Caenorhabditis elegans: one gene and its partners. Each later gene encodes a partner of the first gene's protein in a complex. Each region holds a gene or a part of one and is shown in the gene's direction. Other genes may lie near its edges.

What was found.
Region 2: the proteins of tofu-6 (region 1) and tofu-1 are in contact, whole or in part, in a crystal structure (PDB 9G6Z), measured with the Caenorhabditis elegans proteins. Residues at the interface, in NP_001293507.1 of Caenorhabditis elegans: Ser259 (codon at 2,872), Asn262 (codon at 2,881), Ile263 (codon at 2,884), Val266 (codon at 2,893), Trp270 (codon at 2,905), Met273 (codon at 2,914), Glu274 (codon at 2,917), Ser299 (codon at 2,992), Leu301 (codon at 3,043), Arg304 (codon at 3,052), Leu305 (codon at 3,055), Lys308 (codon at 3,064), Val310 (codon at 3,070); in NP_505568.3 of Caenorhabditis elegans: Glu85 (codon at 2,179), Ser86 (codon at 2,182), Leu87 (codon at 2,185), Leu88 (codon at 2,188), Asp89 (codon at 2,191), Leu91 (codon at 2,197), Leu92 (codon at 2,200), Gly93 (codon at 2,203), Lys94 (codon at 2,206), Ala95 (codon at 2,209), Leu96 (codon at 2,212).
Region 3: tofu-6 (region 1) and ife-3 share a complex: the UniProt entries of both Caenorhabditis elegans proteins name them as parts of the tost-1 variant of the PETISCO complex.

What each region holds. Positions count from the first base shown.
Region 1 is NC_003280.10:5,419,365-5,423,258, forward strand, and holds tofu-6 (Embryonic developmental protein tofu-6), read left to right. Parts: upstream 1-1,883; 5' UTR 1,884-1,914; coding exon 1,915-2,081; intron 2,082-2,125; coding exon 2,126-2,216; intron 2,217-2,263; coding exon 2,264-2,404; intron 2,405-2,447; coding exon 2,448-2,771; intron 2,772-2,820; coding exon 2,821-2,992; intron 2,993-3,037; coding exon 3,038-3,153; intron 3,154-3,207; coding exon 3,208-3,300; 3' UTR 3,301-3,373; downstream 3,374-3,894. Other genes in the region: EEED8.15 (PHR domain-containing protein), read left to right, coding at 1-458, 507-569, 1,061-1,525; F07F6.7 (Apolipoprotein L, 1), read right to left, coding at 3,479-3,604, 3,652-3,747, 3,796-3,894. UniProt on the Caenorhabditis elegans protein: Component of the pid-1 and tost-1 variants of the PETISCO complexes, which have roles in the biogenesis of a class of 21 nucleotide PIWI-interacting RNAs (piRNAs) that possess a uracil residue at the 5'-end (also called 21U-RNAs) and embryogenesis, respectively.
Region 2 is NC_003283.11:9,979,574-9,983,333, forward strand, and holds tofu-1 (Schlafen-like protein 1), read left to right. Parts: upstream 1-1,573; 5' UTR 1,574-1,827; coding exon 1,828-1,863; intron 1,864-1,910; coding exon 1,911-2,115; intron 2,116-2,167; coding exon 2,168-2,492; intron 2,493-2,546; coding exon 2,547-3,102; 3' UTR 3,103-3,193; downstream 3,194-3,760. Other genes in the region: ruvb-1 (RuvB-like 1), read right to left, coding at 1-68, 126-837, 915-1,010, 1,058-1,123; C27H6.9 (Mitochondrial genome maintenance exonuclease 1), read left to right, coding at 3,307-3,663, 3,720-3,760. UniProt on the Caenorhabditis elegans protein: Component of the trimeric PUCH (precursor of 21U RNA 5'-end cleavage holoenzyme) complex, that acts as an endoribonuclease processing the 5'-end of precursor Piwi-interacting RNAs (piRNAs).
Region 3 is NC_003283.11:6,021-9,370, reverse strand, and holds ife-3 (Eukaryotic translation initiation factor 4E-3), read left to right. Parts: upstream 1-1,541; 5' UTR 1,542-1,552; coding exon 1,553-1,720; intron 1,721-1,761; coding exon 1,762-1,938; intron 1,939-1,977; coding exon 1,978-2,213; intron 2,214-2,260; coding exon 2,261-2,435; 3' UTR 2,436-2,783; downstream 2,784-3,350. Other genes in the region: B0348.10 (uncharacterized protein), read left to right, coding at 632-796; idpp-2 (Intrinsically Disordered Protein, expressed in Pharynx), read right to left, coding at 2,860-3,347. UniProt on the Caenorhabditis elegans protein: Recognizes and binds the 7-methylguanosine-containing mRNA cap during an early step in the initiation of protein synthesis and facilitates ribosome binding by inducing the unwinding of the mRNAs secondary structures.

The sequences.
Region 1 (3,894 bases):
TGGAACAGAGGTCGAAGGAAGTTCAAGATGCTTTAGATATCCTTAGCATCAATGGAGATGTTTCTTCTGACGAAGAAGCAGTATCTGTAAAAGAAGAATCTTCTGATGAAGCGGGAGTTAACACTTCCCAAGAAGTTATTCAGAATGATGATACTGAAGAATCTGAAAAATCGGAAACTATATCTCGTGAAGTGTCCAACACCGATGAATTCGGGATTGGAAACAATGTGGGATTTACTGCAAAAGTTGATGATCTTATTGAAAAAATCGCTGAAGCCGTTAAGGATCAACAAATATCAGAGACCACTGAAATTCGTTACAGTGATCCACTTGGGGCATTGGAACCTCTCGTGGGTGAACCCAACGAAATTGAAAAATCAGAACTTTTGTCTGAAATTCGCCAATTACGATCTGAAATCGAAGAGATGAAAGAAACGGAAGTGAAACAAAATTCAACGGTATAGTTTTTTGTAGGGATAAAATTAGTTGAAAATGTTTTTTTCTAGATAAGACTTCTCAAACTGAAGTTCGACGAGATTGACGAAAGGGAGAGACAGAAGGAATTACAGGTAAATTTTTGGAAGGAACTTAAGGCATCCATGGCATCGGTGGCAGGCAGGCGTACATGCCTGCCAACTCTCAATTTTTTACATTTGGAAGTGAACTCCAGTGCAATTTGAATAATGTAGAGCTACTTTGAACCAAAAAACTCCTGAAACTAAATGGATTTTAATTTTCGCAACATATTTTCTGCGCAAATATCTCGTAGCGAAACCTACAGTAACTTTTTCAATTCGAACTAAACTGAAAGATTTGGGGTTACAGTAGTCATTTACATATTACTGTGGATTTCTCTTCGAGATATTTTGAGCGTTAAATATGTTGCGTAATAGGCATTCTCAGTTGGAAATATCTACATAATAATTTAAAAAAATCATAGGCTTTAAACAAAAGATTTTGTGAAAAATCAGTCTCATTTTGGATTACAATTCGGGAGTAGCTTTCCTAAAACTCCTCCCTATCAATATATATTCCATCAAAAATTTGTTTTAATTTCCAGCGTTACACTCCGATTGCAACTGGAATCTGCGGTGCTTGGCGGCTCTCCGAGATCAATAAGTATAATGAAACACTCAAAACCCGTGGAGTATCGTTCCCAAATCGTCTGAAAACTCTTGCTGCTTACACCGTATACAACTTCGATGGTACTTATCTGAAATCTCACAATCAAGTTTTTTGTAAAACGTTTAACAGTGGCTGTTTGAAACTTGGAACTCATGAGATAACCGGTGGAATTGTTGTATCAACCTTCATTTATAGAAATAAAATGATAACAATTTGGAAGAATAAAGATGGAACTTCTTGTGTAAGAAAGGAGAGATACATTAAAGATGGAAAATTGTACAATGTGCACACAAACAATTCCGGCGAAAGGACTATACGCATTTTTGAACGAGTTCAGGGAAAATCAGATATCTTGTACTCAATTGCAAACGTCGGAGGACTCTATCTCAAATTTTGGTGATCACCTGCTTTCTTCAATCCACACAACTTGGTCTCGCAACGAAATATCATCTTAATGATTCTCAAATTCACAGCATTAATTAATTCGCTATTTTATTCAATAATTTTTAATTTTCTCCGTCCATTTGTCTTTCAAAATTTTTTAAAGCAATTTTTAATCATTTTAATCGTTCTCCGTGGGAAATAATGAATCTTTTCGAAATTCTGTGCCTGTAAATAATGATTTCAAGGGTACTGTAGTTTTTTTTAAACAAGTGCGCTCTATTGCACACCGCTGGAATACGCGCGAAAAATGGGAGATTTCATTTTTGCTCGCTTTTTTTGCATTTCAAGCATTTTTTTAAAATTAAAGCAAGAATATTTTCAGTTTCAGAATTACATTTTTTAGAGATGGCTTCCAGCTCGACCGCATATTATCTGAAAGACGCCGGATTCCATATTCGCAATATTCCGAAAGCTTGGAATGATTGGAACTTGTTCCATGTCTTCCAAAACTTTGGAAAAGTCAGTTATTGCCGTGTTGTTGGACAATCCAACGATGGTCAAGTTCAATTGGGGTAAGATAGTGAGACTCTAGAAACGATTCATTTAAAATCTTCAGATTTGTGAACATGATGTCGGTAGCAGATGCTGATGAAGTTCGCAAGAATTTGAACGACGGAAATCTGATCGGCGAAAATTTCACGTTGAAGGTGAGCGTTGCGAATATATAAATTCAAATTAAAACTGTAATTTTAAGGTTACCGATCATAAGAACGTCGGAGGATCTCTTCTCCCAATGGCTTCCAATTCCGTTCAGAAGCTTGTATCATCTCCACCATCGAAAAGCGGACCAGTTCTTCTATCATCATCCTGGCTTCCACTCAACAAGGATATCGAGGTTTCTTACTTTTCCTTCAGCTTATATTAAATTTTCAATTTAGGTCGAAGTTGTCGACTATCTTCCATCCTCATCAGTGGCTCCAGATCTTTTCGCGTTGACTCTTCTCCGCATAAATGATTCGTCAATGAAAGAAAAATATGATTCAATGCACGAGAAAATGAACGCGTATGCTCAAATTGTTCCATTCGATTCGGAGCTCGAAATTGGCTACGATGGAGTCTTCCGTGATGCTCCCCGTTCCGTTCGACGCGTTCGACGCATCTCAGCCACCAAGCTTTATCTCGTTGATTTTGGAAAAATTATCAATTATGAGAAGGCAAAATGCTTCCAATTGCCAAAAGTTTTCCAGTCGATGCCGACAAGGGTAAGAGTTCCATTCAAATGTTTAACATATTTTTTCTATTTATTTTCAGGTTTCCTTGTGTGGACTAGATGGTCTTACCTGGTCACCAGTCGCCATTCCATCATTTGATAATATTCGCGAGGTTGTTAAAAAATGGGGACAAATGGAAAATTCGACGCTTCACGCCATGGCTTGTGGATTTCAAGGCTCTATTAACATGATCAATCTGTTCTGTGGAAAATGTGCGTTTTTTCTTTTGAAAATTCCCCTCATAATAATTTTTACAGCGATTCTTGCTGACCGTCTTCAACGTAAAGGTGTCTGTGAATACTTGCCACGCAGTCAGCAGCCACACTATGCATACTCCCGCGAGACTCTTCTTCAGCACAATAATTCTGGAGTGGTGAGATTTGATGATTTAAAGGGATTTTCAGTTTTAATTTGGCTTTATTTTCAGACTGCTCAAATTTCGAACGATGCTGATGTCGTCAAAGATCTACTCAAGAAGATTGATGGAGTGAAGAACATGCTCCGTGAGCTCGAGCTGTAAATCTGTCCCATTTTTTTTGTCGAAATTACATTGAATCTATGATGTTGTCAAAAAAATGAACATTTTAATTCAGTGTCAGATTTTATAAGAACAACAACAAGAAAAATAACAACGAGAAAACAACAAAAAGAAAAGAAAATCAACAAGAAAAAAATCAAGAAACTTTGAAAAGTGAAAACTAATCGCTGTTCCAGGCGTCGTAATTCAAGAAGTTGGTTACAACATTGTGTCGCATCCTTTCCATCTTGCCGGAAGCTTCACGAATTTTTCCTGCCAATTCAGAGGAAGATCCGTTTTTAAGCGTCTGAAATGAAATTAATATTATATTTTGATAACATTGTTCGCGGTTACATTAGCGCTCATGGCCAGGGTAACACCGTCCAGAACGATTCCGATGGCTGCAACGCTCTGCAGCATTCCTTTCATAAGTGCATTCGTGAGATGGCCCTAAAAACGAAGGTAAAAATTTAAATTTCAAAAAAACAACTATTCTACCATGGAAGATGCGGCCATTTTAATTCCGAATCCTGTGATTCCGGCGAGAGAAACACCAAAAAGTGTTTTCAAATGAGACTGGACATCGTCGAAGTTTTT
Region 2 (3,760 bases), on another chromosome or scaffold:
CATTAGTTCAGCCACTCCACTTTCAATGTATTCGTTGACTACTTTGTTGATTTCAGAACGAAGACGATCTAAAAGACAGAATAAAAATTGAAAGGTTCGAGTTTTAATGTTTATCAATCACTCACCAGTAACTTCAGTTTTCTTTGGAGTCATCAGCTGTGAAACAATGTTACTAACATCTCCTTGACGTCCTTGTGGACGGGCATTTGCGATATCCAGATCATGCAAAGACACGTTTTGAACAATATCTTTAGACTTTCTAACATCTCCTTTCGGCATTGGCACAAACTCGTCAGCCTCGAGGTCAAACTCAGATGCATATACATCACACCGTCCAACTCGTTTAACGATTCCTGAGTTCGCTTCAATATAGATGACATCACCAACTTCTACTCGTTGCTTCAAAATCGAGTCATAGATGCTTGGATCCAATTTCAGTTGCTTGCTTCCTTTTGCTGTTTTCAAAGAAAGGACAAGATGAGAGATGGTTTTTCCCATTCCGGAATTATCTGAAGCTTCGACGGGGCTCAACTCTGTAACTTCTCCCTCGTACACATCTTTGGTTTCCTTAACACGCAGACCAATAGCTCTTCTGAAACTTCTCATGAGCACTTCCGTTTTCTTTACTTCATTGGAAAAGACCTCGCTTGCAACAAGTGGCACAAATGGAACGCCGTCACCCAACTCCTGTGACATTGCAAGCGCGATTGCAGTTTTTCCAGTGGCGGGTGGTCCAGCAATCAATACAGCTCGTCCGGCCATACACTTCAATCGAATCATATCAACTACAATTGATGCAGCTGTTCTGGCGGGTGCTTGGCCAACGAATCCAGCAGCCTGTAGAAATAATATTTTATTTAGCATAGGCTTTATTTCATAAGTAGTTATTGAAATTGGACAATTGAAAAAGAAACCTCATAGTGAGCTTCTTGTGTTTCTGTGTCAATTCCGAGTCCCTTGACGTGACTGTGAGCCGCAATGCGTTTAATTTGCTTTGGAGTTGGTTTTACCTGAAAAATTCGATTTAAAATACTAGGTTTTTCAAAAATTAGCTCACTTCTTCGATTGGTGCAAGTCTTGAAGAAGAAGTACCAGATATTGCCTCATCGACTTCCATATCCATTATTTTACGAAAGCGTCAGCGTGAAAATAGAATGAAAAATAGAAATTTAGGGAAAGAAAATAAAATTCGAAAATGTGTGCAGCCATCTCATTTTACGCACAAATGCAGACAAACAGCAATGGAAGGAGACCCGAAGAACTCGGGGGATGTCCAACTGGGGGGATTACCAACTCGGGGGATTGGCCCCGCCCACAGAACCGTGGCTTGCATTACGCCCATTTCTGCAACTGCCGCACGGTTTTAAAACTGTATTTTTCTCAATAGAGCGAGAATTAACAAGAAAAAATAATTTTAAAACCGTGCGGCAGTTGCAGAAATGGGCGTATTGCAAGCCACGGTTCTGTGGGCGGGGCCAATCCCCCGAGTTGGTAATCCCCCCAGTTGGACATCCCCCGAGTTCTTCGGGTCTCAATGGAAGGGAAAGAGGAAAAAGAGATAATATTCTTATTTGAAGTAAATGTCAAATATAAGCCGAGAGTAACTTTTCTAAATAAAATGAATTTGCGAAAGTTGTATAATCACCAATAGAGATCCCAAGAAATTAAAAATGGCATTCCATTCGGGAACCTGTTAATGTAAAATAGCAATGTACCTTTAAAGTACGGTAGCACAACTTTGAGACAATTATCTGGAATTTGTCCCAAATCCTGCTCCCTCGACAATCCTTCGAAATCGAATATTCTGTCTCAGTTATTTTTGGAACAATGGCTGCGCTTTTTGAAGAGAATGATTCTTATTCGGTGAGTTTCTGGATTAACAAGAATAAAGTATAATTCAAGAATTTTAGGATTCCGAAAATGAAGAAGATTTTAGCGGCTTTTTGAGTGAAATCGAAGAAAATGAAAACGAGGATGAATTTGAAAACGACGATGAGTTTGAAGACGATGATGAGCTTGAAAATGTGGATGAACTTGAAGATGACGAATTATCCTCTGAAGAAGTGGACATCCCTTCCGAAAATGAAGTAATTGTCGAGCTTCACGATGGTCAAGGTGAGCAGTTTTATAGTTTTTTGCTCTTTTTCTGTAACAAAATATTTTCCAGCCGAAGTGGAGGAATCACTTCTTGATGCTCTTCTTGGAAAAGCATTGGCAGGAGATCAGATGAATTCTCGAATTGAAGGACTCTTCGAAGACTTGGACTCTTCAGTTGAACCTGATATCATCGATCGCAGCGAGTTAGAGGATGTGGACAGTGGTATTAGTGTTGGAGCTGTTAGTTCTTCCTCTGCAGAAACTCAAGCTTCTGATGCGAAATGCAAAAATAAGGATGCTTTCGACATGTCTTCACTTAAGAAGTATATGCAGTACATCACCGAAGAAGAGCATGCCGTATCAGTAGAAGATATTCCAGATTTTGCTTCCAAAAAGTAGGTCTTGAAGCTTTTCTGAATATTTTCTATTTCAACTCTTCATCCTTCCAGAAATGTGTATGGAACCAGCTTCAACGTTCGCAACGGAATCATGTCTCGTCCACCTCGTTTCGAATTTGCTCGTCACGATCAACGCTGGATCGATTCATGTGTATCCATGGCATACGAGAAAGACAAGACATTGAAAGAATTGATCACACTGGGAAAGTTGACAACAACTGTCAAGGCTGGAGCCAAAATTGAATTCAGAACCAAATTCACGGATGTTCATATTCGAAGTGCGGATGAAATTAACTTGATGGAGACACATGACATCCAACAGATAATCCGTGATGCATTGAATTCAAAGCGTCTCGCCGTGGTTCTCTTTGGTATTGGGAAAGACGGAAAAGTTACTGGATGCCACATGGGTCCTGGTCAACAAGATAATCTGCGTCTTGCTCTGGATACTGCTGTTCAAACCGAGTTTGCACCTCCAATTGAGAATATTCTCGACGTAGTTGACATGAACTTCGTTCCAGTTGAAGAAATGGATGAGACGTTTCTGATTGTCATTCGAGTGAAACAACTCCGTAATCAAGTCTATCGTTTAGAATCATCTGTTTGAAGTTGTTAATCTTCTGTTTTTGTTTTGTTCGTTGTTTCGCTTAATATCGCCTCCATTATATCTGTATCATGAAGTTTTGTACCAATTTCTGATTGTTGTTTAACGATATTCGTAGTATTCCTGCATGTGATTTGCTATTTTTATTTTTGAACGGTCGGTTAATTTTGAACAAAACAAGCAATTTGATTCCAGATAAATCAGATCATGTCTCGAAAATGCACAATTCGCTACGGAACCTCAATAATGCCAAGTTTTGCGAAGCTCATAGATGTTGCTCCTCCAACGGAAGCGGAATTTAATAATCCGTGCCTATTTCCCGAGAAACGAATTGCTGAGAATTCTGAGACTTCAACTCTCCGACGACCTTTTCTTTCAGCAATCCTTTCTGCGATCAGTGACCAAAAAGCATTATATTTGTGGCAGAAAGCAAAAATTGACGAAATGGGATTGAGTGCATTCAAATCAAGTATGACGGAAAGAATGTCACTGGGAACCAAAACTCATACAAAAGTTGAAGAGATGCTAAAATTAGGACACCACGAGTCAAAATTGAATAATCTTGTAATTATTGAATGCATTAAAAACACTGCAAAAATATTTATCTGGTCAATTTTCAGATCGATAATGAGAAAAATGCTGCTATCAGAAATTTCATGAA
Region 3 (3,350 bases), on another chromosome or scaffold:
TTGGAACATTTTGGGTCCCAAAAAGCCAAGTCTCGAATTTCGGTGATCCTCCTTTAAGTCTGTGGAACTACTGAAAACTAGCAAAAAACGATGATTGTTAGGAGAATAATGCGGCTACGAAAATGTTGTGTGTATGTGTGTGTGGGGGCGTGGCGCTCTCCGAAGACTTTACGTGGACGACGTGGTAATTATGACGGTCAGAAGGCGGACAAGAGTGCGAGAGACGCAGAGAAGAGAAGCCCAACAGCCGTCGCCGAAAAAATAGACAAAGTATTCGTGACTATGGCTCACCGCCAACACTCTAAAACGGGAAAATCGATGTGGTGGAGAGGAGGAGGAGACGGAGGAGAGAGAGAAATACAGCGAAAGAAGTCGTCGTCGGAGGGCCCCCGACGTCGTCTGACGGCGGGGTGTCAGACGCAGTAGGTTAGACGAATGGCGCCTCGGGGCAACGCTTGCTGCGTCTCTGCGATTCGGAGAACTGTCTGGCCACCTTTTTACGGGACGATGGGCAGGGAAAACAAGGCAAAGTGAGAGAGAGAGAGAGAGATATGTGCGACGAGTTGAGGCACACAGAGAGGGAAAAGGCGCCCAGCGGCAGCAGCAGCAACACCCAGACCGATATATTTATATGTGCATGTTGTGGAGGCTGCTGCTGTATGTGTCTGTGTGTATGCTCACAAGAGCTCGAGACACCGGGACGGCTCATGAATTCCTGACGACGACGGCGACGCTGAATGCGGCAGAAGGAGAAAAGAAAACGGAGACGCACTCGTGGATAAATTGGAGAAATTGAGAACCACAGGCTGTAAACAATGCACATTTTTTGGGAAAACTCAGATTATCGACTGCAATCTGGAAAATAAATTTTTGAATTTTAAACCTGAAAATATAATTTTTTAGCCTGAATTCCCTGAAAGAGCTCAATTTCTGTGCGAATAACGAGTTTTCAGCGATTAATTTCATTATTTTACCGAATTTTCAATAAAATTTGAAAAATTTTACCTAAACAACTCGATTTTTATTTTAATACAAAAATAATTTTCATATTTTCCGCTGTTTTGTTTAAAGGGGGGCGCAATTCCGCAGACAAGATACTTCGCAACGACAAAAACTACGGTTACACTCGTTTTGCGTGTGTCTGGTGTTTGAATTTCAGGATTCGCGCCTTTCTTTCCATTTCTTCATTTTCCAAGGTTTTTCGGGGAAATCGCTCTTTTTTTTTTCACTTTTACGATTAAAAAACAGCTAGAATGTTTAAAAACTACTAGGAATTTCATGGGAAACGAATCATTTGATGATTTTTCGTCGAAGTTGAGCTGAATTCATTTTCTACTTTGTTTTATTGTTTTCCAAGCTTTAATATCAATTTATTGTGCCCGATGTTACCAATTACACTTGAAAAATCTAAAAAGCTTGGAAACTAGCCGAAAATGTGCAGTAAAACAAAATTTCCTATAAAATCCGAGTTATTTGAACCAAATTCATACTCTTCTCTATTTTATCGTTTTCCGAGCTCTAATCGTATATAATATTACCTATTTTCAGCTAAATGAGCACATCCGTAGCGGAAAACAAAGCATTGTCAGCTTCCGGCGATGTGAATGCGTCCGATGCTTCAGTTCCTCCAGAGCTTCTCACCAGACACCCCCTCCAGAATCGCTGGGCTCTCTGGTACTTGAAAGCTGACCGTAACAAGGAATGGGAGGATTGTCTGAAGGTAGAAGATTTTTAAATACGTCTTTTATCGATTTTTTCCAGATGGTTTCACTTTTCGACACTGTCGAGGACTTCTGGTCGCTGTACAATCACATTCAGTCTGCCGGAGGATTGAACTGGGGATCCGATTATTACTTGTTCAAGGAAGGAATCAAGCCAATGTGGGAGGACGTCAACAACGTTCAAGGTGGACGTTGGTTGGTTGTTGTCGATAAGCAAGTACGTTTTGAGAAATATATTTTATTCAATGAATCATAGAAGCTTCAGAGAAGAACGCAATTGCTCGATCACTACTGGTTGGAGCTGTTGATGGCTATTGTTGGAGAGCAATTCGACGAGTACGGAGACTACATCTGCGGAGCTGTCGTGAATGTTCGTCAAAAGGGTGACAAGGTTTCCTTGTGGACTCGTGATGCTACTCGCGATGATGTCAATCTTCGCATCGGACAGGTTTTGAAGCAGAAATTGAGCATTCCGGATACTGAGATTTTGAGGTAATTTTACAATTTTAGTATTTGCTATCTAAGTAAAATATTTCCAGATACGAAGTTCACAAGGACTCGTCGGCTCGCACCTCATCGACTGTCAAGCCACGCATATGTCTTCCAGCCAAGGATCCAGCACCAGTGAAGGAAAAGGGACCAGCCGCAACGACTTCTCCATCGAATCCCGGCACGGAGGCTACAGGAACTTCTCCAGCCACCCCAACTCCTTAAGCATATTCTAAAGATCTCACCAATTCCTCTCACCGTAAATGAGCTTCCCCGTACTCCCAGTCTCAATGTTGTCTTGAAAAATGAACTGTTTTTCGGACACGATCATCGCTTTAACTATTCGAAAATCAGCTCATTTTTCAAGTCGTACCCCCCACCTAATGTATTGGTGCTTCCCCTCCAATTTGTACCTACTGTTTCGCTTCCCCCTATTGATTTACCGGTTTTCGTATTGCTCTCTTGTTGTTACTAGATTCGAGACTGATCGACGCCTGTAGCCGAATTCGTTTGTTCTTCAGGTTAATTGATGAATATATATTTATTCGGTAAATATAAATAGATATGTTAGTTATTATTCTTCTTCACACACATGATTTGTAGGGCGTTTGATTTTGTACATTTTTAAAAATTGATTCTATTCTTGTTTTCAGGCAGACTTCTCCGATGTCTTTACAGTTTTTGCAGGCTTTGCCGTAGTCGATGTGTTCGAGCTAGACGAAGGAGCTGCGGCAACAGTCTTCTTGGTTGGCTTCCTAGCTTTCCGAGGTTTCCGTGTGCTCGTCGTGCTCGGCGAGCCGGTAGTGGTCTTTTTGTTTGCTTTGGCCGCATCGTCGTGTTGATAGGAATCAACATCCCGCGACATAATTCCCATCGGAGAGCCAATTCCTCGGTTCCAGTGATTCGAAGCAATGTTCATGTTGTAATCTATGGGAATTCCTCCTCCACGTGATGGGATCTGTGGTCCACTGCCGCCATAAAGCATACGCTCAAGTTGGGAATCATGGCTTCCGAATCGTTCGCGAAGATATGCGGGACCATAGCGTGACGCATAGGTGGCAAGCTCGCGAAGTGATGGGATCGCGGAATTTGTAGCTCCATTGAAACTGTTCATCAGGTCGTTAGATGCGTAATCAGCTG